Linked DNA regions of Macaca fascicularis. The protein of the gene in region 1 purifies or fractionates together with the protein of each later gene. This does not show direct contact. Links are inferred from orthologs where the notes say so. Each region holds a gene or a part of one and is shown in the gene's direction. Other genes may lie near its edges.

Region 1 (3,288 bases):
CCTAGTTTCTGCCTCCCTGCTTGGCAGCAGCCTTCTCTTTGCATCCAGAACTGCCTTGTCTAGGGTGCGCTGTAGGTGAGGAACCTGCTTAGGAGGGAGGCCTGTGCTCACAGCTGCCTCCTTGCTTGCTGCCCCATGTCCAGACCGAGCGTGTGCCACTGGACCTCAGTCCTCGCCTGGAGGAGACGCTGGACTTTGGCGAGGTGGAAGTGGAGCCCAGTGAGGTGGAAGACTTTGAGGCTCGTGGGAGCCGCTTCTCCAAGTCTGCTGATGAGAGACAGCGCATGCTGGTGCAGCGTAAGGACGAGCTCCTCCAGCAAGCTCGCAAGTGAGTCGCTTCTCCAGCCCCGCTTGGCATAATCCAGGTCAAAAACCAGTGGCTGAAGGCCGTTGGCAGGCCCACGTCTTCTCTTTTTAAACAGATGCCAACAGTGAAAAGCCATTACATGCCAACCTAAAACTCAGATTTCAAGCCTGTCTTGAAAAATCCAGAGCATCTGGTAACACTGGCCCCTACTGGTCTACCTCTGATGCTGGTACTCTCAGTTATCTCCTGTGCCCCTTTGGCCACGCTTGCCAAGGGAGCACTTGTGTGCCAACCTATTCTAAGCCCTTTATATGAATCATTTTCACAGCTCTAAGAGGGATCTCTGTTAACCCATTCGGCCGACACAGAGCTGAAGAAGTGGAGGCCGGAGAGGTTAGCCCTGGCCTGGCCCTGGCGTCTGCCTCCCAGGTGTCCTCCCTCTTGACCACTCTGCCTTTCAGCCGAGCATTATGAACACACATGGAGCATCTGTGCGTCAAACCCCCATGGTTGGTGGCAGCTGCGGCAGGTGTATCCTGTAGATAGAGGGGGTTTTGTTCCAGCTCTTGAGGACAGGGCCAGTACTGTGTTCATCGAGTGGGTTTGGGCCCTGGCAGACCCTGTGATTGTGAGGGTTCTGTGCTGTGTCTGTGGGTAGAGGGGAAGGGCACAGAGAGACAGCACGGAGCAGCACTGAAGGGTTCCTCCCTGGTGCAGAGAGAACTAGCTCCCATCTGTTGGGGGCTGGATGTCTTGGTCATGAGGTGGTGCTGAGTGACAGCTTCATGAAGGTGCCTGGACGTGGGGAGATGTGGAATCAGCCTTCTGGCTGTGTTCCACAGCAATCCATCTCTCCCATGAGACAGAAAAAACTTCTGTTTTTTTCTAGACGTTTCTTGAACAAAAGTTCTGAAGATGATGCGGCCTCAGAGAGCTTCCTTCCCTCGGAAGGTGCGTCCTCTGACCCGGTGACCCTGCGTCGAAGGATGCTGGCTGCCGCCGCGGAACGGAGGCTTCAGAAGCAGCAGACCTCCTAGCGCTCCCTTGCCTTCCTCAGCTGCCTCCTGCGCCCTGTGCCCAACCGACCGGAGGAGGCCTGTCCCAGTTCTGCCCGCTGTGTGGAGAAGCGGGCTTGACTGCATTGCCGCTGTATAAAGCATGTGGTCTTATAGTGTTTGGACAGCTGACAAATTTAATCCTTCTTTGTAATACTTTCTATGTGACATTTCTCTTCCCCTTAGAAACACTGCAAATTTTAACTCTAGGCATGATCTCTTCTGGTGTTGACTGGACTGCTTGGGGTAGGGGATGATCAGGAGGAAGTGAGCAGTCGCCTGCCTGCAGCAGGCAACTTCAATTCCTGCCTCGTGTGTACATCCCACAAATGCAGGTGTCCTGAGCACCACATCCAGTGGGAAGAGTGTCGGGGAGACGCACAGTGTGAGCCCGCCCCCACATCATGGGGTAACATCTGTTATCAAACCGCTGTCCTTGTTGTGGAAGCACGTAGACTGTGCCAGAGGCCAGGCCCACGGGCTCAGGCACCCCTGAGCCAGCAGGGCGTCTTGGAAAAATAACTCTTGGTTCAATACCTGGAGCAGAGGAGGGGAAACCCCAGGGCTGCAGGGTGTGACAAAATCACCCCTTTCTGTCCCACTGTATCTGGGACTTTCTGATCCCCCAGTCCAAAGCCGGCTTGATTTCCGCGAACTCTGGTGCTCCTGCATCTCATGAGTGTGCCCCATGGGTTCCCTCCCCTCTCAGCATTTCCTTGTCCCCTCTGGACCTGCGGAGTGGTTAAGCAGCAAGCTTTGGTTTATGGTTTTCATTCACTGGTCAAGTACATTAGGCAATGCTAAAGCCTGTGAGTTTGGTCCTTGAACAAGATGTGGGCCTTGCAAGATGGGAGAGTAAACCTCGAAGGGCTTTATTAAAGAAATAAAAGAGAACTTTTGTATCTTTCATCCTGGGAGCACTGCGTTTTCCTAGCTGTGTTCTTCCTGGTTTAATTCAGCAGAGAAGGTAAGGTGTGAACCTACATGCCTTGGAGCAGGCCCAGGTCCCAAATCTCTTCAAATTCTTCACATGTTTAACTTTAAGGATTTGAACCGTGCAGTCTTAGGTTGCAGACTTCAGTTTTATGCCCCACTGGATTACTTTTTTTTTTTTTGAACTGTTTGAAAGCTTTGTTTTGTGGTAGTCCTTTTGGGAAGAATCCAGTATTATCTACAATTATTGGCAAAGTTTAAATGTATTTTACATAACTGAAAGTTTTTAGAATGTTGAAAAGTAATTGAAAAACGTGATAGGTAAATTTTTAGGCAAAGATAATTTATTTCAATAAATCTTTCAAAAGCCTTACCTTGAAATGCTGTTAGTAAATTTCTGTGATTTTTTTAAAAAAAAATTTTGTTTTGCTGAGAGCATAGCTATTTGTTTTTATTGTAAAACAACAGTAATAATAATAAAAAGCAAACTCTACTGATGTGTGTGGCTGGAAGCTAAGGCATCTCTTTCCAGAGGTGCCAACGTTAAACCCCATTTTGATTTGGATTTTGTGTGTACTATTTTGGTTGGAGGGTTTTTCCCATGTTTTTGAATTGGGAACTTTTATTTTTCCTAGTAGTATATGTGGAGGAGGCAGAACTGCATTTTTCTTCCCCTTGTATTTATATCATTTTTTTTCAGGTAAGTGGGTAACAGAAGATTATTTTACTCTCCTCGAATTACGTTATGCTTTACACATTGCACCCACTATAGGTGCCACTAATTCCACATATTCACATGTTTCTGATGTGTGAGAAGACAAAATTATTTGGATCAATTTTAGAGGGTCTTGACACATTACAAAACAGCCAAACCACAGTGTTTAGAGCAGGGGCTTATTAAGTAGCTTAAAATGATCCAAGAAGTGAAGTCCTCAGTCTGTCCTCCATTTTACACCTGGATACTTAAGGATTTCACCACTTCCTGGGGGCATC
Region 2 (3,500 bases), on another chromosome or scaffold:
GAGTTTTAACAGGCACAGGAGAAACCTGCCCAATTCTCCTGCCCTTAATTGCCTTTCTTCCACACAGGGATTTCAAGGATTTGGATTTGGAGATGGTGGCTTCCAGATGTCTTTTGGAATTGGGGCATTTCCCTTTGGGATATTTGCCACAGCATTTAATATAAACGATGGGCGGCCTCCTCCAGGTAAGAGCCTATTTCCTTGAGAAATTAGGAAGATATCTTAGTAATATTGCTTGAAAGCTCCTTGGAATTCAGCAGTATATAAGTTACAGATAATTGTCACTACATGGATAATCAGCCTTTTCAAAATGTCTTAAGCTGTTTTCAGATCACTTATAGACACGGTAACAATGTTGAGCCCTTACCAACTATTAGGCATATATATAGCACTTTCCATTCCAAGCTCAGGGGATCATCACAACCACCCTATGGAACAAGTGTGTGATTAGCTCTGTTTAACAGGTCAGAAAATGCTCAGTAATGTTACCAAGACATACCCCATGTCTATAAAATGAAAAACTACAAGTGGTACTCAGCTAAGGAAAAGCCTAGTTCTGCACATTTACTCCCCACTTTGACCATCTGGGGACATGGAAATGTGCGATGACTCATCAGGAGTGAGGGCATATCCATTCTCTGGCATCTCTGTCCAGCTTCCTTCAGGACACAACATGAGGCTGGTCACAAGCAGCCTCAGCCCTGTGGGAACCATGCCTAGGTCCACCAACTGCTGCTGCATTTCTCCCTCCTACTGCTTGAAAGTGCCATCTGCATTCAGTATAGAGCGAGGCAATGAGGTGGGTGCCCTGAACTCTATCACAGTCTGACACCCGAGCCAAAATCCTTACTGTGGAGCCTGCAGAGATGCCATGATCGGTTGAGCTCTGCCTGCACTCGGAGCTTCATGTACACTGGACACAGCATATGGTACAGAAGTGACCATTGTGTGGTTCACGCCAAGAGCTTATGCCCTAAAGACAGTAATTGGGTCATCCCAGTTATTCTCATCCCCACCCTGGTCCTTGGTACACAGCAGGTGATCTGTAAGTCTTTCTTGACTGTCTGCCTGCCTGTCTTCGTGAATCCATTAGAGCATCCAACTGAGGAATCTCAGCACCAAGATATCTAGGGAATGCCCTTTCTTACCTTATCTGCCTTGAAGGTTTATCCTCTGTTCACATTTTTTTTTCAGAGGAAGGATACCCCAAAAGATAGGGAGTACTCTGCCCTGAAGAAAGGGCATATCCCTGTGAAGCCAACAAGAACCTGCCTGATAGCTTGCATGCTTCTAACCTGGTCCAAGGCTAACCTTGGATTCCCCAGCTAAGTAGAGTTCCACAGCCAGGCTAGACTCTGGATCACTTTTTTCTCCTGCCACAGTCACAGTTTTCCCTTGTCATGCTTGGTACAATTTGACCATCCTGGATACAGATTATTTTATCCTCCTTCCCCCAAAGTCAGGACAGGGAGCTCTAAATGGTAGCTTTTCTCAAAGCAGAGAGGAGTGGAGACTTAGGTTCTCACCCCAGTTCGTCTGCCACTAACTTGAAAGACAAGTCATTTTGCCTGTCTGGATACTAGTTCTCTTCTGGAAAAGGAAGGCAATCCCTGTGAGCAATCCCTGTGGGGCCCTTGAGAGGCAGTGTGTGGAGAGACTGCAGAGCTCTGCCACTGACTTCTGAGCCTTTCGATGTTGAACAGGTCACCTCAAACCTATGTTTCAGCTGCTTCCTATTCAAAATGGAAATAATAATATCCACCAAATAATAACATGTACAAAACACTTAGCAGATAGAATATACTTAACAAACAGTAGGCTTGCTTTCATTATTTCCTGCAAGAGTTTTCTGTTAATCAGCTGGTTTATTTGCATGTGCAGGCCAAACCTTTTATGATAAATTGAACCATGTCTTGTCCTTATTGTTATTGTTGCACATAGTTTCATTTTGCCTGATATTATTTGGGGTTTAGAAATTTTTTTTGGCTGGGCACAGTGGCTCACACCTGTAATCCCAACACTTTGGGAGGCTGAGGCAGGCGGATCACCTGAGGTCAGGAGTTCAAGACCGGCCTGGCTAACATGGTGAAACCCTGTTTCTACTAAAAATTAAAAAAAAAAAAAAAAAAAAAAATTAGCTGGGTGTGGTGGCATGCACCTGTAATCCCAGCTACTCAGGAGGCTGAGGCAAGAGAATGGCTTGAACCCAGGAGGCAGAGGTTGCAGTGAGCCGAGATTGCGCCATTGCACTCCAGTTTGGGCAACAAGAGCAAAACTCCATCTCAAAAAGAAAAAAAAAGGCTGGGCACAATGGCTCATGCCTATAATCCCAGCACTTTTGGTGGCAGAGGCGGGCGGATCACAAGGTCAAGAGTTCAAGACCAGCCTGACCAACATGGTGAAACCCCGTCTCTACTAAAAATACGAAAATGAGCCAGGCATGGTAGCGCATGCCTGTAATCCGAGCTACTTAGGAGACTGAGGCAGGAAAATCGCTTGAACCTGGGAAGTGGAGGTTGCAGTGAGCTGACATCGTGCCACTGCACTCCAGCCTGGATGACAGGTCAAGACTCCGTTTCAAAAAAAAAAAAAAGAGGCCGGGCGCGGTGGCTCAAGCCTGTAATCCCAGCACTTTGGGAGGCTGAGGCGGGCGGATCACAAGGTCAGGAGATCGAGACCACAGTGAAACCCCGTCTCTACTAAAAATACAAAAAATTAACCGGGCGCGGTGGCGGGCGCCTGTAGTCCTAGCTACTCAGGAGGCTGAGGCAGGAGAATGGCGTGAACCCAGGAGGCGGAGCTTGCAGTGAGCCGAGATCGCGCCACTGCACTCCAGCCTGGGCAACAGCGTGAGACTCCGTCTCAAAAAAAAAAAAAAAAAAAAAAAAAAAAAGAAATCTTTTGTGTGTAGGATTCTGATGTTGTAAAGACATAAAAGATTAATGCTGTCAACTTCTGGCCTGAGTGGGTAGTGTGCATAGCTGCAGTGTTCTGACAGCCTGTTTTCTCCCTCCTGTCTCTCCAGCTGTCCCTGGCACACCCCAGTATGTGGATGAGCAGTTCCTGTCACGCCTCTTCCTATTTGTGGCCCTGGTGATCATGTTCTGGCTCCTGATCGCCTAATTCTGGGCTCCTGCCTACATCCGTGGCAGGGCTCTGGACTGGTGATGTGCCACCCCAACTCCTGGTATTTGGCTTCCTGGCTAATCTTGACTCCTGGAATCAGTGGGATCAGTAACACATCAAGGAGTCTTGTTTCTCCATCAGAGCTTTGGAACTCAAGACCAGTTGGCGATGACCCCTGAGTATTGCCACTGCTGTAAACACCCTATAACCTCAGGCCTTGGCATTGAGTCCTCTCTCATGGGTGACACCATGAAATCTTGTTTCAACCAGTTGAGCAGGTCCTGACTCTGTAGAGGGAAGAGGCAGAAAGAGAGAAACTGTCAGAGTATAATTTCAACTGAGTTTAATATTACAAAAACAAAAGGATGCACCAA
Region 3 (4,086 bases), on another chromosome or scaffold:
CACGTTCAAGTGATTCTCCTGCCTCAGCCTCCTGAGTAGCTGGAATTACAGGCACCCTCCACCACATCCAACTAATTTTTGTATTTTTTTTTTTTTAGTAGAGATGGGCTTTTACCATGTTGGCCAGGCTGGTCTCGAACTCCTGACCTCAGTGATCCACCTACCTCGGTCTCCCAAAGTGCCAGGATTACAGACATAAGCCACCGCGCCTGGCCATAGTATATCTTTTAAAAATATGTTAGTAGAATAAATGAATGAACAGGAGGGATGGAACTAGATAGGTTAGTTCTGTATGGTATCAATCTAGACTGACATTCCTAAGGCAATATTTGGGCCACTTGCTCCCACAGTAGGCAAGAACTATGGGAAAACTAGGATAGATTATTTTAAATCAAGACTGGCCTGTAAAAACCAGGATGTGAGATCTCTGTGGCTACAGGAGCCCAGAGGGAAAAATCCACAGATATCCACAGGCCTGGGATTCAATGTCATCCACACAGTAACACACCAGGATCCGATTCCAGAGACCAGCTTTGAGCGGAGGTGAGCAAATAGCTACTGTGTGACATGTACCTTAGTTTTCACACTTTTAAATAAAACATCTAATTTCTTCCTTATGATTGACTTACGACGTATGTTTCAGAAAGGAAGAAATTAATCTTTAGAGAGATTCAATAACCCACCCAAGGTCATATAGCTGAGAAGCACAGGATAAGGGATCAGGATTTGTGCCAGGTTCCAAGGTCTATGCTTCTTCCACAGTCCTGAAAGAGCAAGGTGGAGGAGGGGACCAAGGAAAGGGGCAGCCCTGAGGATGGGTATCCCTGGCCAGCCTAGTGGGACAGCCCATGGATATTGGGCTCTGGGCTGAAGAATTAATTTTGGTGGCCAAAGTGCCTTCTGGCGTCCACTCTGACATAAGGGTAGGGGCCACCTGAGTTCCTCAGAGCCTTCCTCACTGCATCACGAACACGGGTGTTCTGACGTGCTTCAGCTGACGTCGGTGTCTGGTGTGACAGATGCTCTGGCTGTTGGCGGGGGAGGGGGCGGACCCTGCTGCCGCCCAAACCTCTAGCCGGTAGCGCAACCCCCCAAAGCCGTCCCCACCGACCCCTCCGCGATCTGCTGGAGCAGAGAACCGCGGGTGGAGCCCAGCACGTGGGTCCGCAGGGCGGAGGGCGGAGACAGAGCGGCGCCGGACTACAAGTCCCACAATGCCCCGGGCCGCGGCGGCGAGGAAGGAGGGGTGCTTCAGGTGCCTGCGACCTCCGCGCCTCCCGCCCGGAAGTGTCCGAGGGGCCGCGATGGAGCTGGGGCAGCCGGGCGGTGAGTCCCCGCGCCATGACCGCGCCCACCCCGCCGCCCAGGGCCCCGGCCGGGCCCCGCCCGCCCTGCCCTGGATCGCCGTGCCCTCCTGCGGCTCCGGGGGGCGGGAAGGTGGGAGGGGTGATGAGGGGTGGGGGTAGGGAACGTGAAGTCTCGGATTCCGGGCGGGATCTGGGGTCTGGCAGCCCGCGGGGCTTGGAGACACTTCCAGAGAAGGCGTGGAGTTGGGCCTCCGCGGAGTGGGGTTGAGGGGACCGAGCTGGGTGGGTGGTGACGCTCGGAGGCTCCAGATTGCCCAGGGGCGGAGTTTGACGTTTGCTGTGGGGGAAGCCTGGGAAGCAGTCCTGTGCCGCGGGTGGGGTTTAGGTGAACCGTAATGCGGGGGGCGGGGGGTGGGGGCACAGAGGCTCTACCCCCACCTCGGAGAAACTTTAGCAACGGAGTAGATGAGCATGGGGTGAAGTCGGTGAAGGAGTAGACACACTGGGGTGAAGTGGGCAGGAGAATAGATACGCATGGGCGTGAAGTTTGGCTGGGGTGAAGTTTAGGGGAGGCGTTGCTTAGGCCCTTACCTTGGGATAGGGTTTGGGTGAGTTGGGAGCTGGTTGAAGACCTCGAGCTCAGATGACAGAAAGTTAGGACTTGGGATTCGGCGATGGGAAGGGGCACCCGGAGGCAAGTTTGGGGCGACTGGGAGGCAAAGCAGCCCGTACCCTGGGGTGGGTGAGGGAACCCAGGCTGAGGACGGTGGGAGCGTCGCGGTGGGGTGGGGGCAGGACCCTGTGGAGGTTCCAGGGCTCCTGGTCAGAGGGCCCGCGCCTCACGGGCTCTTTGTGCCTCTCCAGCTCGGTAGCGCGGCGGGCAAGGCAGGCGCCATGACCCTGATTGAAGGGGTGGGTGATGAGGTGACCGTCCTTTTCTCGGTGCTTGCCTGCCTTCTGGTGCTGGCCCTCGCCTGGGTCTCAACGCACACCGCTGAGGGCGGGGACCCACTGCCCCAGCCGTCAGGGACCCCAACGCCATCCCAGCCCAGCGCAGCCATGGCAGCTACCGACACCATGAGAGCGGAGGTCCCAGGGGCAGAGACCCCCAGCCTGAGACACAGAGGTCAAGCTGCACAGCCAGAGCCCAGCACGGGGGTCACAGCAACACCACCAGCCCCGGACTCCCCGCAGGAGCCCCTCGTGCTACGGCTGAAATTCCTCAATGATTCAGAGCAGGTGGCCAGGGCCTGGCCCCACGACACCATTGGCTCCTTGAAAAGGTACGTAGGTCAAGAGGCAGGAGCAATGCTGAAGACAGGGGTGGGGGGAGTGGTCACAGAAGGCCCCAGGAGAGACCTAAGACCCAGCCCTCCTTTATACTGGAGGCGCTGAGCGCCCCAGATCACAACTGCACTTGTTCCCTTGGCAGTCTGCCCCTCCCAGGCCAGGGCCGGTGTGTTGTGGAGGGCAGGGGAAGGGTGGGAGTGTTGTTCCGGGGCCAGGGACTAGGATTGCCTGAGGCCTGCTCTCTTACCCAGGTCCCTCTCTCCTCAGGACCCAGTTTCCTGGCCGGGAACAGCAGGTGCGACTCATCTACCAAGGGCAGCTGCTAGGCGACGACACCCAGACCCTGGGCAGCCTTCACCTCCCTCCCAACTGCGTTCTCCACTGCCACGTGTCCACGAGGGTCGGCCCCCCAAATCCCCCCTGCCCGCCGGGGTCCGAGCCCGGCCCCTCCGGGCTGGAAATCGGCAGCCTGCTGCTGCCCCTGCTGCTCCTGCTGCTGCTGCTGCTCTGGTACTGCCAGATCCAGTACCGGCCCTTCTTTCCCCTGACCGCCACTCTGGGCCTGGCCGGCTTCACCCTGCTCCTCAGTCTCCTGGCCTTCGCCATGTACCGCCCGTAGTGCCTCCGCGGGCGTTTGGCAGCGTCGCCGGCCCCTCTGGACCTTGCTCCCCGCGCCGCAGCGGGAGCTGCTGCCTGCCCAGGCCCGTCTCTCCGGCCTGCCTCTTCCCGCTGCCCTGGAGCCCAGCCCTGCGCCGCAGAAGACTCCAGGGGCTGGCAGAGGCCCCGCCCTGCGACCACCGGGGCTCGGGGCCACCTCCCGGGGCTGCTGGCCCTCAGTCCGCACTGGGAGTGGGCTCCTCGGGGTCGGGCATCTGCTGTCGCTGCCTCGGCCCCGGGCAGAGCCCGGCCGCCCCCGGGGCCCGTCTTAGCGTTCTGCCGGAGGACCCAGCCGCCTCCAATCCCTGACAGCTCCTTGGCCTGAGTTGGGGACGCCAGGACGGTGGGAGGCAGGTGAAGGGGAGGGGCATAGGAGTTCCCCGGAACTTGTGCAGATTAAAGTAACTGTGAAGTTTTCACTCTTGCAGTGTGTCTGAGTGTGTGCGGGATGGCGGGCGGGGACTCCTCGCCCCTTGGGAGAGAAGGGCACGGACGGCGCCCTCGGCTCTGGCCCACCGCTTTCCCTTCTCCCCTGCCTTCTGCTCTGGCTTTGGCGCCGGCCTCCGTGGCCCCGCCCCCGGTGCCGCGCGCGCACTTCCCGCGGGCGGAGCTCACGGCTCCCTGGCTCGCAGTGCCTGCCGGGAGCCACGTCTCCGCTGGTCGATAGCTGTTTCGGGATTGGTGTCCGGGCGGCTATCTGGGGGCTGCTGGGAAGATGGCGGACTCGGTGGCCAGCCGATGAGGAGGCCGCGGGGGGAACCCGGCCCCCGGGCCCCGAGACCGACTGAGGGAGCGACCTGCGCAGGGCCCGGGGAGTCATGTAGGGGTGGCG
Region 4 (3,994 bases), on another chromosome or scaffold:
GTTCTGGCTCTGTCACCCAGGCCGGAGTGCAGTGGCACAATCACGGATCACTGCAGCCTCAACCTCCCGGGTCCAAGCAATCCTCCCACCTCAGCCTCCCAAGTAGCCAGAACTACAGGTGCAGGCCACCATGCCTGGCTAATTTTCTTGTTGTTGTTATTTTTGTTTTTGTTTTTTGAGACAAAGTCTCACTCTCTCGCCCAGGTTGGAGTGCAGTGGTATGATGTTGGCTCACTACAACCTCGGCCTCCTAAGTTCAAGTGATCCTCTTAGCTCAGCCTCCCACGTAGCTGGGATTACAGATGTGCGCCATCGCTAACAACAAAAAATACACTTCCTTGATTAACTCCTTCCTTTTAATTCCCATCAGGACCTCTCTTCGGGCACTGGCTGATAAACTTCTACCGCCTCATCTTCTCTGCTAGACTTAAAGAGTTCCTGAAGGCAGAATAAATGTGGCTTGATCAGTATTTGCCGATTCAACGCAGAGGTGCCCAGGCCATCTTAGTGAGTTAAGCGAAGACCCGGCGATCGCGCTGGACAGGACCCAGAAGCCAGAGCGCCGGAACTTCCGGCCGGCTCCCGGCATCCGTCGGGCCCCGAGCCCGCGCTGCATGCTGGGACCTTCAGGTTGGAGCCCGCTGTAAGGCCGACCCACGGGCCGCCGCGCTCCCTCGCGATGCCGCCTAAGCCAGTCTCGCCCGTCCCCGCTTCTCCTCAGAGAAAATGCTGCCCTGCAGTACTTACCGGAGCGACCATGAGGGTCACGAATTCGAGCACACACAGGCTTCCCGCCACCTCCTTTAAACCGCCGCTGGCTTGCCAGCGACAGACGGCGCGGTTGGCTCCCCAAAATTCCGACTGATACGCGCCTCGGCGAGCGAAAGTAAACGCGGGATACTCTCGCGTTCCTGATTGGCTGGTTGGGGACACGTCAATTATGACAGAAAGGGGCCGGGCGGGAAAGTTAGCTGTGGCCGGCGGGGATTGGCAGAAGGAACCTGTACTTGGGGCGCTGGGGGGGGCGGTGGCCACGCAACTCGTGATTGGCGGATGTGCCTTCCTTAAGTCTCTACGGATTGGCGGCTGGCCGATTGCTTGGCGTTGATTGGGCAGCCGCGGGAACCCTAAAGCGGGCGCGGGGGAGGCCTTTGTCCCGCCCAGCCGCCGGGGCCTGCTGGCGGAAGGGGAAGTGAGGGGGGCAGGCGACGGTGGGGAAGATGGCGTACCAGAGCTTGCGGCTGGAGTACCTGCAGATCCCACCGGTCAGCCGCGCCTACACCACGGCCTGCGTCCTCACCACCGCCGCCGTGGTGAGCAGCTGCAGTGCCACCTTCTCATTATCTGGGCTGGATATGACTGGGTCTTCAGGAAACTGGGGTTTGGGCTTCGGGGAGGCCCAGAGGGGCTGGTCCCGGGGATGGTTGGAGACGTACAGGGATTACTCTGGGGTTCGAGTTGGCGCCGAGAATGCTTATCCAGTGACCTGAGAAGGGAGTGCTGCTTCATGGGGGGTCAGGTCAGTTTCTAAGAGATGAGGGCCGGACCTATACCGGGTTAGGGTTGCGGGAGCCTCCCACCCGAGAAATGTGTCCGAGAGCTCTGCCAATGGCCAGGTGGTACCGTGGTGACTAGTGAGAGGAAGGTCCGTTTTATGAAGAAACAGGAATGAGGAAAGCAAGGTGGAAACTGTCCAGAGGGGAGTGGCTTATAATAAAGAGGGTCTCTGGGTAACAAAGGGCTAGCTGGAGGTACCCAGCCCCAACGGTGGCAGGGTCTCGAGTCTCCGTTATTTCAAGTGAGTTTTGTTGTTTCACACGGCTGTTTCAGGTGGTGCCCATGTGGTGGGTAGATTCATAGCAGCTGTTTTTATTTGTCCTGTGTCTAAAATATCACCACCTGTCTGCCTCATTTCTTCATGTCAGCCTCAACTATTGCAACATAAACTTTTTTGTGTTAGGTATTGAGGATACAAAGAATTCTACCAATTCTAGAGAATTCTTTACCAACCTCTTCCTCTGGCCTAAGAAGAAAGGCTTAAAGAAAATCAGTAATTGACCGAGAGTTGGAAATTGCTAGACCTACTAATCCTTTGTTGTAAATGATGAAATTTTGTTTCTTGGTTGATTTGCTTTAAGAAGCTCTTTTTCTATTTCAGCAGTTGGAATTGATCACACCTTTTCAGTTGTACTTCAATCCTGAATTAATCTTTAAACACTTTCAAGTAAGTGGTTCATCACAATAGTGATTAATGCTTCAGTTTCTTCTTTTACTTACTGTTTAGTAGCAAATCCCGTTGTACACTATCCTAAAAAAGAACCCCATGGGGGACCTTTGATTATAAGTTGTCTTGTCAGGATGTAAAGCAGTGATTCTGCAGCCTGGTTGGACTTGAGAATCCCTTAGGGAACTTTGAAGAGATTCCCAAGCTCCTCAACAAGTACCAAATCAGAATTTGCAAGGGTAGGAATTAAAATCTGTGTTTCATTTTTAAAGTTCCCTGCATCGTTTTGATGTGTCCAGTTCCTGTATTCGGAAATCACTGGTTTAGACTTAATGTTGTAGTATGAGAGGAGAGTGACCAGCTAGCTGCTTAGGGGTTGTCTCTGCAGGGATGGCCTTATTTTGTCCATTCACCACCTAGGCACGCCCACCACCTTGGTGTTATCATGATGGTCCAGAAACTCAATTCTGTTAGTGCTTTTAAATTGTGATCTGTCTTCCAGTGATCAGATCATACTAACAAAATTCCAAACATCTAAAGCTATGTGGTGGTTTATTAGATTACAGTGGGAGATGGTCCTTTCCGGTGATTAAAATGTCAAAAGAGGCTGGGCGCAGTGGCTCACGCCTGTAATCCCAGCACTTTGGGAGGCTGAGGCAGGCAGATCACCTGAGGTCAGGAGTTCGAGACCAGCCTGGCCAACATGGTGAAGCCCTGTCTCTACTAAAAATACAAAAATTAGCCGGGCGTAATGACACATGCCTGTAATCCTAGCTACTGGGGAGGCTGAGGCAGGAGAATCACTTGAACCCGGGAGGCGGAGGTTGCAATGAGCCGAGATTATGCCAGCCTCTGAGACAAGAGCGAAACTCTGTCTCAAAATGCTAAAAGAAACATGGATTTTTCTGTTCCAAGATGATCTTACAGACCATAGTTGGAGTAGGGGAGAGACCCAAAAGCCAATAATTGTGCCTCTACACATGCTGTTCCCTCTGTCTCAAATGTGTTTCGTTCACTTTATACCCATTGAACTCTGGCTTGCCTTTCAAAACGCAGCTTTTGTGTAACCTTTATGTACTCATCCTCCTTTGTTTTAGAGCATCTCTCACCTTTACTTTGCAGTTATGTGTATGCTTGTCTCCTCACTAGGATGAGGACTCTAAAATCTGGGTAATTAATATGTAGAACTGAATTGTTTCAACTTTAATAGTTACCAATTCTCAAGAATTTAGTGATTTGTAAAGTAGTCTTGTCATCTCTTGTCACTGTGTTCCCACAATACTCACATGGAGCTGTAGTTCCATCCAAGTAAGTCTTGCTTCCTACTTGGCTTGCTTGGTTTTACTCTGCCTGGGGTTAAACTGTTAAACTCTTGATGACATTTGGAGTTAGGACTTTGAGATTTGCCATCAGTCTCCATCTACTCCTGCGGGTCCTTGGTCAGGACATTTAAAAGTTCAACTTTCAGCTGAGTAACTAGTGTTCAGCTAGTAGTTCAACTTTTAGCTGAATAACTAGTATCAGCTAGTTATTCAACTTTTAGTCTTTTAGTTTCCTATCTGTGAATTAACTTGCTTGTCTCACAGAATCACAACAGATAGTAGACATTTTAAAATGTTAAGCACTCTACCATTGTGAGTGGTTACTGTGGGTGTGGAGAGGTTGGGTAGGGAAGGGTGTATCAGGGTTTCCAACAAGAAAATGAGTGTTTGGCCGGGCGCGGTGGCTCACGCCTGTAATCCCAGCACTTTGGGAGGCTGAGGTGGGTGG
Region 5 (3,500 bases), on another chromosome or scaffold:
ACACTATGTAAATAAAAACCAAGATTTTAGATTGTGTTTATTCTCTGATAAATTGATCGTGTGACTGGGTCAGCTGAGACATGGCAGTTGTTTTCTGCTGGTGTCTCTGCGATGGCCATCTGCCAACAAAGGTAACCACAGAGTCAGTACAGTGTGAAAGTGTTTCAATAATCAGATCTCTTACTCCTTTTTAAAAAATGAAGACAGTGTCTTGACAATCTTTTACCTGAACTTTGTATACTAAATGATTAGAATTTTGCTAGCTCTTCTAATTCAATAAAAAACAATTTTGTTTTACTGAGTAAATTCAGTTTTGTGTTGATTTGTACTGCTTAGTGTTCTGTGGTAGAGGATTTTGCTTATTGCCTAACACGCTGTGACTAAGAAGAACACTATGTGCAGTGTTTGGAGGCTGCTGATTTTTGTGTCATGTACATTTTTTAAAATGATACTACATTTAATCAATCACATTGGACGTTTTTCTTTTAGATGTCCGGTCTGTGCTACAACAGCAAAATGTTCCAGGTGCATCAGGTGCTCTGCATCCCCAGCTGGATGGCAAAATTCTTTTCTTGGACACTTGAACCCATCTTCTCTTCTTCAGAACCCACCAGCGAAGCCAGAATTGGGATGGGAGCCACGCTAGACATCCAGAGACAGCAGAGGATGGAGCTGCTGGACCGGCAGCTGATGTTCTCTCAGTTTGCACAAGGGAGGCGACAGAGACAGCAGCAGGTAAAAGTGATAATAATCACTAAAAATTTAGAAATTCTCAGTGGCCCCAGCAAATCTTTCCTCTGTGATTGCATGTGAGATAGAGACTACATTTTATTCCAGTGCCTTGCAAGCGGATTTTGACATTTCCAAAGAGAATGTAGGTCTCTGTTAGTGGCGATTCTTAGTTTTTTAAGAAGGTAAAAAATAAATTGTAGCTGAAAGATTGGTCAAACTGGACATTCTTTTTCCACCTATATTAGATAAGCATGACTTCTTAGAGAAACACCAACCTAGTTAACAAGATGTGCTATTTATCTGTTTTTATAATCTTGTAAAAGCCACAGTGTCTTCCTGTTAAAATGCTAATCATATGCCATGGAGTGAAGAACAAATGTAAAACTTCTTGATTTTCCTTAATTGAAATGAAGAGAATATGAAGGTAATAAGATTTTCAATGGAACAACCAAGGAGTAGATTTAAAAAATGCTGTGTTTTCTCAACCTTGCTATCAATAATCAGAAACTATTGCACATTTGTCTACAAATACTGCATCCAAACAATCTGATACCACACTTGTCTTCCATGGGCAGCGAAGGAAGGAGGGTTAGTGCACATCAGGCTAAAACCTCAGGCCTGATCTTTCTAGGACACTTCTGTGAGCCAGCCTACAGGGCTCCCCATTTTTCGCCTCTACCTTCTTTACCCCTGGGGTAGTTGTAAACCATACTTACCTCTGCCATCTCTCTGTCTCCCACTAGCATTAGATGCAAGAAGTAGGTCTGCAGATCTCACGATGGTTTGGAGAAGTGAAATCAGGTTTGAGGTCCTTAGAGTCTCATTGGAGATGCAGGTCCCAGAGTTTATATTGGGATGGGAGGAAGGGGGCACCTTATCAGGTGCAGAGTCTACAAGAGAAAGAGAGAAGCAGAAGTTGTTTCTTAAAGATGTGCTTGAATTTGAGTGACTCTGGAACATGCCATAAAGATGCTCATGATGTATTTAAAGCTGGAGGATGGACATCTCTGTCTTGGAGATGTGGAAGCTACATATATATGTAGGCGATGGAGTCACCTCTGTAGGGGTGAGAGCTGAGAGCCGAAAGCAAAGAACTAGTAAGTTCTGTAAGAGAAGAACTACATCCAAGGTGAACACAGGCTACAGATGAAGCCTTGTATTTAGCAGGAGGTAAATCCTACAAGGAAACAGAGAAGAGCGAAAGGTATGAGAACTCAGAATGATCAAGGTCAGAAAAACTGAGTAGTGATTGAGTATAAAGGTAGAGGCAAAGAGCTTATGAGGGGGTGTTCTGATGTTTCTGGCCTAGATAATCTTGAAGATAGAGGACTGATAGTTCCATTTCACCAATATCAAAAGAGCAGATTTGGGGGAAATATGTTGTCTGAGATACCTTGGGAGTCCTGGGAGGAGATTCTCCATTGGAGAGCTTTGAATTTGTACTCATAAGCAAACCAGAGAAGCTGCATTTCTCAGATTGGCCTCCTCAGGAAGATTTTTATACAAGGAGTTTAAGAGCGAACACTGTCAGCATACAGTCACATCGCAGGATTAAGGCTTCAGTGTGTGAATATGGGGCAGGGGCAAGGGGTGGGGGACAGTGTGTTCCATAACGCTGCAGGGTGGAAAGGGCCCAGCATCGTCTCGGTGCTGCGTGACTGTTCTGCTTGCGGACGGTGGTTATCCGGTGCATGCAGTCTCTGTGGGTGCCAGGTTGGATGCTCCATAGTGGCAGGAGATAGGTCGGTCTGGGTGAGGGGACCGCACATTCCTCTGTGCCGCCACTGTGGCCGTCCATTCGTGTGCCAGCACTGGGTTATCTGGCGATGGAGCCACGGCCATTCTGCCCACCTTCCACTTGGTGCCTTTTCGGTGGTGGATGCCCGTGGTGGGCACTACCTGCAAAACACTTGATGCTGCTGTTCCTCTAGCTGGGTCCTCCTTGTGCCCTTCCTTCCAGTCCCCTGACCGGCCAACCAGGTGATCTGCCATGCCCAGCAGATCCACACGTGTGATTGCCTCAGGCCACTTCTCTTTCCACTCAGAGTTGGTGACCAAATGTGCTGCCCGGGCTCTGCCCATAGGGGTTCCCCTGATCATTGTCTTTCAAGATCGAGCCATCATGCAGCCGTTTCCTCCAGCTGCCACTCATGTCCTGAGCCAGCCTATCCATTTGGCTGTTTTCCCCTCTGTCACTTGGTCATGAGGGGCCCAACCGCTGTGGCAGTCGGTGTTAGCTGGGAAGAGGCTGTGGTGCAGCAGAGGTGGCTGCCAGGGTGGTCTGGCATGTCTGCTTCTGCAGCTCACCCATGCCCTGCAGCCCCACTCATGCTGAGCCCAGATGCCCATGTCCATCTGGTGACGGGTTTCTGTCGGCCCGCCTGGCTTGGTAACGTGGTGGGTCTCCACTGCTGACCACATGCTCACGTTACGGCCTATGGACAGGCACTTCGTGGTGCAGCAGTAGTTTATACAAGTGGGATTCTTGGCTGCGTGCGCACACCCTCGCTCCAGGACCCTATGGACCCACATTATGGTTCTCCTTTCCTGCCTTGCCGTAAACTCCGCACGGTGTCTTTCCCCACCCCAGATACTTGGAACATCATGGGATCTACCAGCTTGCACCCAGGCCTCAGGGAATGAGACAGACCCAAATCCCTGCCCTGCTGGAGCGTGCATTCCCACCAGGCGCCTGTGAAGTGGCACGGGCCTTTATGGCTGTTTGTACTGCTGTCAGACTCCTCCACTTTCATAGGATGGTCTCACCA
Region 6 (3,500 bases), on another chromosome or scaffold:
AAACATTCGCTGTAGGCTGGGCACCGTGGCTCACTCCTGTAATCCCAGCACTTTGGGAGGCCAAGGTGGGTGGATCATTTGAGGCCAGGAGTTTGAGACCAGCCTGACCAACATGGTGAAACGTCGTCTTTACTAAAAATACAAAAATTAGCTGAGCGTGATGGTGCATGCCTGTAATTCCAGCTACTTGGGAGGCTGAGGCACAAGAATCGCTTGAACCCAGGAGGCAGAGGTTGCAGTGAGCCAAGATTATACCACTGCACTCCAGTCTGGGTGACAAAGTAAGACTCTGTCTCAAAAAAAAAAAGAAAAAAAATTGTTGTAAAATATTTTCTGTCTCAAGTCTTTCATTTCTACTAGAATACAGAAAGAAATGACTATTCTGAAAGCTAATCTTTGGGAACTGAAATTGTGATGGAACTCTGCTGTACTTACTGTCAGCAGCTCTCCAGAGATTTGCCTCTGGCACCAGTAGTTTTTTGACAATGTGTTTCTTGAATGTTGATGAGATATCTTTTCCTCCCTAGACGACACTACAAACTGATGAAGTTAAAAATGTGCCTTGTGGAACAAGGTAAGCTTTCTCTTTGCCTACCAGCCTCCCTTTAGTTCAGATGGAGTTTCTGTTCCTACACCTATGATCACTTAGACATCTCTCAAATAGGCATGATAGTGAACCCAAGGGGATTTCTGATTTGAGCATTGTTTGAGCAAAGGCCTGTCTCCAAATAGGAGCTTTTCCATCTTAAGAACCGTTAGGGTATTATTGAAAAAAACTGGAGTTTTAGAGCAAGTAGACCTAACTGTATTAGCACTGCTGCATCTGCTTTATTGACTATTTTTTAAAGACTTTATTTTTTACAGCAGTTTTAGGTTCATAGTGAAATTGAGCAAAAAGTACAGACAGTTTCTATATACCTCTTTCCCCAACAGATTCCTTTATTGACACTTTAAAGCTTAGTTTCCTCATTTATAAAAGGCAGTAAAATCGACCTTGCAGAGTTATTGTAAGGATTAGAATTACTGTATATGAAAATGCCTAACCAGTACTTGGCCCAGAATAGATGCTTAATAAAACATAGTTTAAAATTAATCATCCCACCTTCTTCTCATGTGTAGTGTTAAATGCCATCTAATTTAGAGTTTCTGATTCAGTAGGTCTGGAGTGAGGCCTGAGAATTTTCATTTCTAACTATAAAAGTTCCTGTGTGATGCTGATACTACTGGTCTGAAGACCTCACTTTGAGAATTGCTGTCCTAAAGAGGTTTAGGGAAAGAAAGGCAAGCAGGGTCCAAATTATTTCTAGGGTATAATCACTGCATTGAATTGTATCAAAAGAAGAATGTGAAGTTCAAGGTATTTTTTAAATTACTTATTTTAAATGACTATTACAAGTGTACAGAAGACATTGACACCTATAGAGGGGCAGAAATGCTATGAAAAGGGAAGTGAATTCTCTCTGTGTTTAAGTGAATAATAATATGTTTGATTATCAGCTTCTCCACAGGTCTATAACTGTATTTTATGGATTGCCTTTAGTAGTTCACACTTTTGTTTCTTTGTTTTTAGTGGTGGGGTCATGATCTATATTGACCGAATAGAAGTGGTTAATATGTTGGCTCCTTATGCAGGTATGTTACCCATCTATCTGTGGTTTTCATAGTTATAGCCAGAGGCTTTATAGCTGAGAGATTCTTTGAGGAATAGAGGGGTACTTTGAAAGTTTTATGACTTCATTGATCACTGATTAATAAATTTCTGGGGAATAGAGGCAAAAATAGGTCAGAAGTTCTGGACAGAGGTGACTTTATGCAACTGTATAACTTACTTTTCCCTGAGCTTAGTGTTTCTAAGAGCAAGATGGTCATTGGTTATTTCTAGAATAGGAAAGTAGTATTTTATCCAGTCAGGATGAGAGATAATTTCCTTAGGTGTTAGATATCTGTAACTGATAATTCCTTGGCCCACACTGATTTGCCATCAAAGAGAAGTATTTTCTAGTTGATATTTGCTGTAATTTGCAAAGCAGTGTGAAAGCCTTCAGTGTGGGGAAAGCATTTTCTTGATAAAAGATGAAAACCTACAGAAATGGGGTGGGTAGATACTGTTGTAATCAAAAACTTAATTAGAAGCTGTGAAGAAAGATATGCCGTTTTAGATGCATGCTTGTTAATAAAACTGGTATGTCTAGTATATACAGAATATTGTGTTTGGCAAGAACAATTTAAAAAGATGAAGTTAGAGCCTTTGCCTTCAGGGGTTTTAATTGTACTTGAGAAGACATAATACAGACCTAAAAAAGAATATATTGGGATGTAAGGTCATAATAAATTTCACATCACCAGTACAGGCACAAATAGTGAAAAGATTTCAGAGTAGAGAGCCAGGTGTATTACTGTCAAGTGCATTTGGATTATATTTTTCAGATATTAAGCATTTTCCTTGTCTTTTTTTTCATCTCCTTTCCTTGATCACAAATCAATGGAATGGATTTTGATTGAAAAAGGGAAGGGACTGATGATTCTTTAGCCAGAGATTAAATAGGAAACTATTAGATATAATTCATTTGGGAAATGATCAAGCAAATGATTTAGGTATTAAGTATTTATTAATGGCCTGTCCATTAATTTTTTTTCTTTTTTGAGATGGAGTCTTGCTCTGACACCCAGGCTGGAGTGCTGGAGTGCAGTGGCATGATCTCAGCTCAGTGCGACCTCTGCCTTTTGGGTTCATGCAATTCTCCTGCCTCAGCCTCCCTAGTAGCTGGGACTACAGGTGTGCGCCACCACACCAGGCTAATTTTTGTATTTTCAGTAGAGACAGGGTTTCACCATGTTGGCCAGGATGGTCTTGAACTCCTGACTCAAATGATCCACCTGCCTCCGTCTCCCAAAGTGCTGGGATTACAGGCATGAGCCGCCGCGCCCGGCTGTGATTTGAAATCCAGTTGCATCTAATATCCCACATGGGAAGGCCAGTGGAGCAAATTCTTGGATCTGAAGACAGAAGTAGAAAGCAGCATGTTTTTATAGATAGAGAACAGGTTCTGACATGGTCTAGTATGTACCTTTTGGGGCATTTCTAAAATTCTCTGGTTCTTAGTTTCCTGATATGCAAATTTAGGAGACTTCAGTGCTAATTTATGTAAATTACCTGAGATAAAGCCCAGCTCAGTTAATATTTGCTCCTTTCCCTTCTAGCCTGGTGTCTTTTTTAACAGCTTTAAAAAATTGCCTTTTAAAAAATGGTCTTTTGCAGCTGCTTTCTTCTTTTATTTCTACTGTTCCTCAGTTTGCTTAGTCTCTCTTTACCTCTTAGCTAAACTTTTGCAGTAATTGCCTTATGCTTTCCCTGCCTCTGATCTCTATGCCTCTCAGTTCATCTTCACACTGCTGGCCAAAGTGTAAATCTGACTGTCATGCCCTTGCTTGAAAACTTTGATAGTTCCTTATTACCTCCAAACTAATGTATGCTTTTTAGTATGAACTTTAAAGTTAGC
Region 7 (4,097 bases), on another chromosome or scaffold:
CCTCAAGCACTTAATGCAAGGTGGAGGGTAAACAATGGCCAAGACCCAAACTGCAATGTTCCCTGAAGTCCAACCTGCTTGGAGTCCTTGGGAATATGTACAATGGTTAACAGGGCTTGAGAGGAGTCAGCTGGGAAGGTGACAGCGAGACTCTGCCCCGCAGAGGGACCGCTGAGGACGAGACCCTTGAGGATGAGACCCCTGAGGACGAGACTGCCCTGCAGAGGAACCGCTGAGGACGGACCCCTGCAGGCCGTCCACGCCCACCACGCGTGTCATCCTCAGGAAACGCAATCGGATGCTCAGAATTTCGCCCCTAAAGGGACTCAGGGCAGTCCCAGCTCAAGAAAACGTCTTTTTTTTAACCTTCTGGCTTAGAGCCACAACCCCAGGCTGAGGATGCCACATCAGCGGCGTTTCCTCGCCACGCTGCAGGCCTGACTCACGTTTCCAAGACTGCAGGGCCCCCGGGCCGAGCGCGGCTACTGAGAGAGAGCACAGCGTCCTCCCTTAGCCCCTGCTCATCTGCACGGAGCAAAGCCGTTGCTTTCTCCGCTGTCAGCGCTTTATACGACTCGGATGTAGGCTCTGAGCGGGCACGGGCCCGCCCTTAGACGGCGACCCGAGGGGCAAACAGGATGGAGGCGCGATCCTTTGGGGACTGTGGTCTCGATTTTATCTGCTTCTGGGCTGTGCGGGTGGTTTGCTCTCCTGGCGTGAGCAAAGGCCACTAGGGGCCCGAGGAAATGACCCACCGATGCAAGCCCGCCATTGCTCTGAGCAGGGTCCGGCCCCGCGCCAGAGCCCGCGCTCCGCCAGGGAGGCCTGCGCGTTCGAGACCCGTCGCCTCCGGGTCAGGCGCGGGACACCAGGCGAGGGGAGCCAGGAGCCGGGAGGGGCGGCGCCGGGCCCGCAACCCCACCCTGTCCTCCCTCCGCCTCCTCCCGGCCAGACCGTCCCCTCCCAGGCCCCAACTCCGCGGCCGTCCCCTCGCAGCTGGCCCGTCCCGCTCGGGCCCGCGTGCCCCGCAGCCGCCACGCGCCCCGCCGTCCGTGCCGCGGCTCCCGCCCGAGCGCGCGCGGGCCGGCGGTGGCGTGTGCGCACGTCATATGGGCCGCCCGCCTCCCATTGGTTGCCGCCGCCTCACCAGACCGCTTGTGGACGGGCGCGCGGGCGGGGCGGGGCGAGCTCAGGCCACGCCCCTAGGCGGTGCGCGCGGGCGGTGGGTAGGCCGGGCAGGGTCACGTGATGCGGGCCCCGCGGCCCGCCATATAAGCCCGCGTGCCCGCCAGGCGCCGCGGCCGCACTTGGGGCCGTCCCGGGCCGCGACTCCTCCTTCCCCACAGCCCCGCCTCCGCTCGCAGAGCCCGAGGGCTGGCGCCTCTCGGCCAGGTACGCGGCGGGCTGGGGCAGGGGTCGCGGGCGGGGTTTGGTCGCGCTGCAGCCGGTCCTCCCCGGAGGTAGGCGGGCGCGGGCCCCGTTGGGTCTCTGGGACGCTGGTCCCGCTGGGGCCGGGGGTGCTGCTTGATGTGAGCGCGGGTCCCGTCCGCCGCTGGCCCTGGGCGAGTGCACCGGGTTCTAACCTGGTGGGGGCTGCGCTGCCGCCTGGCCCCGGTGCCGGGGTTCGCGTCCCGCGGGGCCTTCCTCGCTCTTTGTCTCTTCTGAGTGAACTTGATGACCCCCTTCTTCCAGGAAGCGCCTCTCGGACGCGGGTGACCGATGCCCAGATTGCACGACCACTTCTGGAGTTGCTCCTGTGCGCACAGCGTGAGGCGCCGAGGCCCCCCGCGAGCCAGCGCCGCGGGGCTGGCAGCCAAGGTTGGGGAGATGATCAGCGCTTCCGTGTCCGGGCCCTCCCTGCTGGCGGCCCATGGTGCCCCGGACGCTGACCCCGCGCCCGGGGGCCGCAGTGCTGCGATGAGCAGCCCGGAGCCCGGCGGCCCCTACCCCAACACCTGGCATCATCGCCTGGTGCAGAGGAGCCTCGTGCTCTTCTCGGTTGGGGTGGTCCTAGCCCTGGTGCTCAACCTGCTGCAGATCCAGAGGAATGTCACTCTCTTCCCCGAGGAGGTGATCGCTACCATCTTTTCCTCCGCCTGGTGGGTCCCTCCCTGCTGCGGGACAGCAGCTGGTGAGTACCCCCCCCCGCGGTTCTTCTGGAAGTAAAAAGGGTGTCTTTTCGGTTGAAAGTACTTTTCAGCCTATTGAGAAACATGCATTTGAAACTAGAACTGTCCACAGATTGAAAGTGTGCATCTCCAGTTTGGGGATTTAGAGAAATGAAGGAGGGGTAGAGAGGACCTGGCACCCCCCAGGGCGGGTTCGGGCCACAGCTCTCTGAAGTTTGAGGAAGCACAGTGATGGAGATGAGGCAGGGAGATAATTGGCTGTTCAAGCAGGTGCTGTGCCAAGCTGACTGAGGGCCCTTCCCTCCTGGCGTCCGGGTACAGCCCCAGCTGTCATCCCGCGCCAGCCGCCCCGGATTGGCCGCCTGGGGAACTGGTGAGCAGCGGGACTGAAAGGCCATTGGTCGCGGCAGCAAACATGCTACCCTGCTGGATAACTGAAAACAAACCCGTCACATGTGTTCAGGAGGCGGTTGCCAGGGGAGCAACTTCTCAGTACTTCCTTTTGCCGGGTCGCTGAGTAAACCGTGGTCGGAAGCCAAAACGTTTACTCCCTGAACTGTTAGCGCTCTGTAGATTACGTTCTTAAGGAAAAGAGTAACCCCCTTACGACGTTTAGATTTTCGTACACCCAGGCAGTAGCATAGATGCCTTACAGTGTAACACTAGGTCAGTCTGAACTGTGGACAGGGGGACTGCTGAGTGTCTTTACTAGAATTTCTTGGCTATCATTGAACCTCTTTTATAGAAATGTTGAGTTGATCTTGGCCCAGCAAATCCCTTACTGCTGCTGTAGTCACACAGCATTTGTTTCTTTAACGAGGTTTTGTCAGGTGCTTTCTACAACCTCAACTCTACAAGCTGTTGAAATGTTAATCCAAAAGTAGCACCACAAGCCCCTATCCTTAAGCAGCTTACAGTCTGGTGGGGAAAACAAATGAGTAAGTGACTCCAGTGCAGTGCAGGGGGCATCCTGTTTGCTTTGTGGCTGACATTTGTCAGCCGACTGCTGACCATAGGCTTCAGATGCTTTGCTGTGTTCATTCCTTACAGCAATACCATGTGTAGCTTCATTTATAGATGTGGAAACCGAATCACAGGTGAAGTCACATCCAAGCGTGCGCAGGTAGAAAGGGGCCAAGCCATCCATGCTAACAGCTCCCGCTGCCTCTGTAGGTGTGTCTCCTGCACTGTGGAAACACATTGCCTCAGTTGACTCACTGCAAACAGCAAGCAGCAGAGTTTTGTAACAGATTAACAGAGGGCTGTGTGTTCAAGAACTAGGACATATGTCTGTAATTATTAAGTAGTGGGTAGAATGTTTTCATCTTTGTTCTCGGAGGGAGGGGAACCTCTTTTGTTTTTTGAAACACTTTATGTGGCTGTACTAATTGAAAAATTTTTGAGACATATATCTAGATTTAAAATTCCATATTTCATATACATTTGGCAGAATAGTTTCTTTCCTTTAACCAAAAACTTGATCTTAGAAATGAAATAGTTTAGCCTTCAGTATTTGTAATTGAAGCCTCAAGGGTTTCTAGGAATATCTGGACAATTTCTCATACTCTCATACTCTACCTTTTTTTTTTAAACCATCAGCCAAGAGCATAAGTAAAATATCATAGTATGTTTTTTACCTATTTAGTTTTTAACCTTAAAAGGCAAAATTAAGCTATAGTGAAGTAAAGTTAATTTGGGGGGGGGTCTGTTTTTCAAAACTCCAAAATTAGAACATGATTAATAAATTGAAAACTGAACTTTTTTTTCTGAATGTTTGATGAAAACTGTGTTTCCTGTTTCTCAGTTGAACCTAAAATGTGTATTTCTTTCATACTAGACCAAGGTGAAACAATTGCAGGGTTCTCAAGAGCCCTGGGACCCAGTGACCCTTGTGTCTCAGCATCCAACCCCGCAGGCCAGCACCCCACTCCCCCCCACAAACATTCATTCCTGCCTTCATTTTTGCCA

Evidence for each region.
Region 2: the proteins of AMFR (region 1) and RNF185 purify together in Homo sapiens (affinity purification with mass spectrometry; 3 studies listed by BioGRID and IntAct, with this or other methods). This does not show direct contact. The link is inferred for Macaca fascicularis from reciprocal best matches to the Homo sapiens genes AMFR and RNF185.
Region 3: the proteins of AMFR (region 1) and TMUB1 purify together in Homo sapiens (affinity purification with mass spectrometry; 3 studies listed by BioGRID and IntAct, with this or other methods). This does not show direct contact. The link is inferred for Macaca fascicularis from reciprocal best matches to the Homo sapiens genes AMFR and TMUB1.
Region 4: the proteins of AMFR (region 1) and DERL2 purify together in Homo sapiens (affinity purification with western blotting; 4 studies listed by BioGRID and IntAct, with this or other methods). This does not show direct contact. The link is inferred for Macaca fascicularis from reciprocal best matches to the Homo sapiens genes AMFR and DERL2.
Region 5: the proteins of AMFR (region 1) and UBAC2 purify together in Homo sapiens (affinity purification with western blotting; 4 studies listed by BioGRID and IntAct, with this or other methods). This does not show direct contact. The link is inferred for Macaca fascicularis from reciprocal best matches to the Homo sapiens genes AMFR and UBAC2.
Region 6: the proteins of AMFR (region 1) and ERLIN1 purify together in Homo sapiens (affinity purification with mass spectrometry; 3 studies listed by BioGRID and IntAct, with this or other methods). This does not show direct contact. The link is inferred for Macaca fascicularis from reciprocal best matches to the Homo sapiens genes AMFR and ERLIN1.
Region 7: the proteins of AMFR (region 1) and INSIG1 purify together in Homo sapiens (affinity purification with western blotting; 6 studies listed by BioGRID and IntAct, with this or other methods). This does not show direct contact. The link is inferred for Macaca fascicularis from reciprocal best matches to the Homo sapiens genes AMFR and INSIG1.

The regions. Positions count from the first base shown.
Region 1 is NC_088394.1:52,429,156-52,432,443, reverse strand, and holds the end of AMFR (E3 ubiquitin-protein ligase AMFR), read left to right. Parts: intron 1-143; coding exon 144-328; intron 329-1,196; coding exon 1,197-1,344; 3' UTR 1,345-2,788; downstream 2,789-3,288. UniProt on the Homo sapiens protein: E3 ubiquitin-protein ligase that mediates the polyubiquitination of lysine and cysteine residues on target proteins, such as CD3D, CYP3A4, CFTR, INSIG1, SOAT2/ACAT2 and APOB for proteasomal degradation.
Region 2 is NC_088384.1:20,440,521-20,444,020, reverse strand, and holds part of RNF185 (E3 ubiquitin-protein ligase RNF185), read left to right. Parts: intron 1-67; coding exon 68-185; intron 186-3,025; coding exon 3,026-3,123; 3' UTR 3,124-3,500. UniProt on the Homo sapiens protein: E3 ubiquitin-protein ligase that regulates selective mitochondrial autophagy by mediating 'Lys-63'-linked polyubiquitination of BNIP1.
Region 3 is NC_088377.1:192,360,959-192,365,044, reverse strand, and holds TMUB1 (transmembrane and ubiquitin-like domain-containing protein 1), read left to right. Parts: upstream 1-1,286; 5' UTR 1,287-1,341; coding exon 1,342-1,437; intron 1,438-1,488; exon of another isoform or gene 1,489-1,589; intron 1,590-2,171; coding exon 2,172-2,590; intron 2,591-2,864; coding exon 2,865-3,216; 3' UTR 3,217-3,673; downstream 3,674-4,086. Other genes in the region: FASTK (fas-activated serine/threonine kinase), read left to right, coding at 3,993-4,074. UniProt on the Homo sapiens protein: Involved in sterol-regulated ubiquitination and degradation of HMG-CoA reductase HMGCR. Involved in positive regulation of AMPA-selective glutamate receptor GRIA2 recycling to the cell surface.
Region 4 is NC_088390.1:5,551,372-5,555,365, reverse strand, and holds the start of DERL2 (derlin-2), read left to right. Parts: upstream 1-1,194; 5' UTR 1,195-1,220; coding exon 1,221-1,313; intron 1,314-2,158; coding exon 2,159-2,224; intron 2,225-3,994.
Region 5 is NC_088391.1:90,250,186-90,253,685, forward strand, and holds part of UBAC2 (ubiquitin-associated domain-containing protein 2), read left to right. Parts: intron 1-489; coding exon 490-735; intron 736-3,500. UniProt on the Homo sapiens protein: Restricts trafficking of FAF2 from the endoplasmic reticulum to lipid droplets.
Region 6 is NC_088383.1:109,123,676-109,127,175, reverse strand, and holds part of ERLIN1 (erlin-1), read left to right. Parts: intron 1-527; coding exon 528-574; intron 575-1,570; coding exon 1,571-1,632; intron 1,633-3,500. UniProt on the Homo sapiens protein: Component of the ERLIN1/ERLIN2 complex which mediates the endoplasmic reticulum-associated degradation (ERAD) of inositol 1,4,5-trisphosphate receptors (IP3Rs).
Region 7 is NC_088377.1:196,592,645-196,596,741, forward strand, and holds the start of INSIG1 (insulin-induced gene 1 protein), read left to right. Parts: upstream 1-1,297; 5' UTR 1,298-1,460; intron 1,461-1,692; 5' UTR 1,693-1,719; coding exon 1,720-2,131; intron 2,132-4,097. UniProt on the Homo sapiens protein: Oxysterol-binding protein that mediates feedback control of cholesterol synthesis by controlling both endoplasmic reticulum to Golgi transport of SCAP and degradation of HMGCR.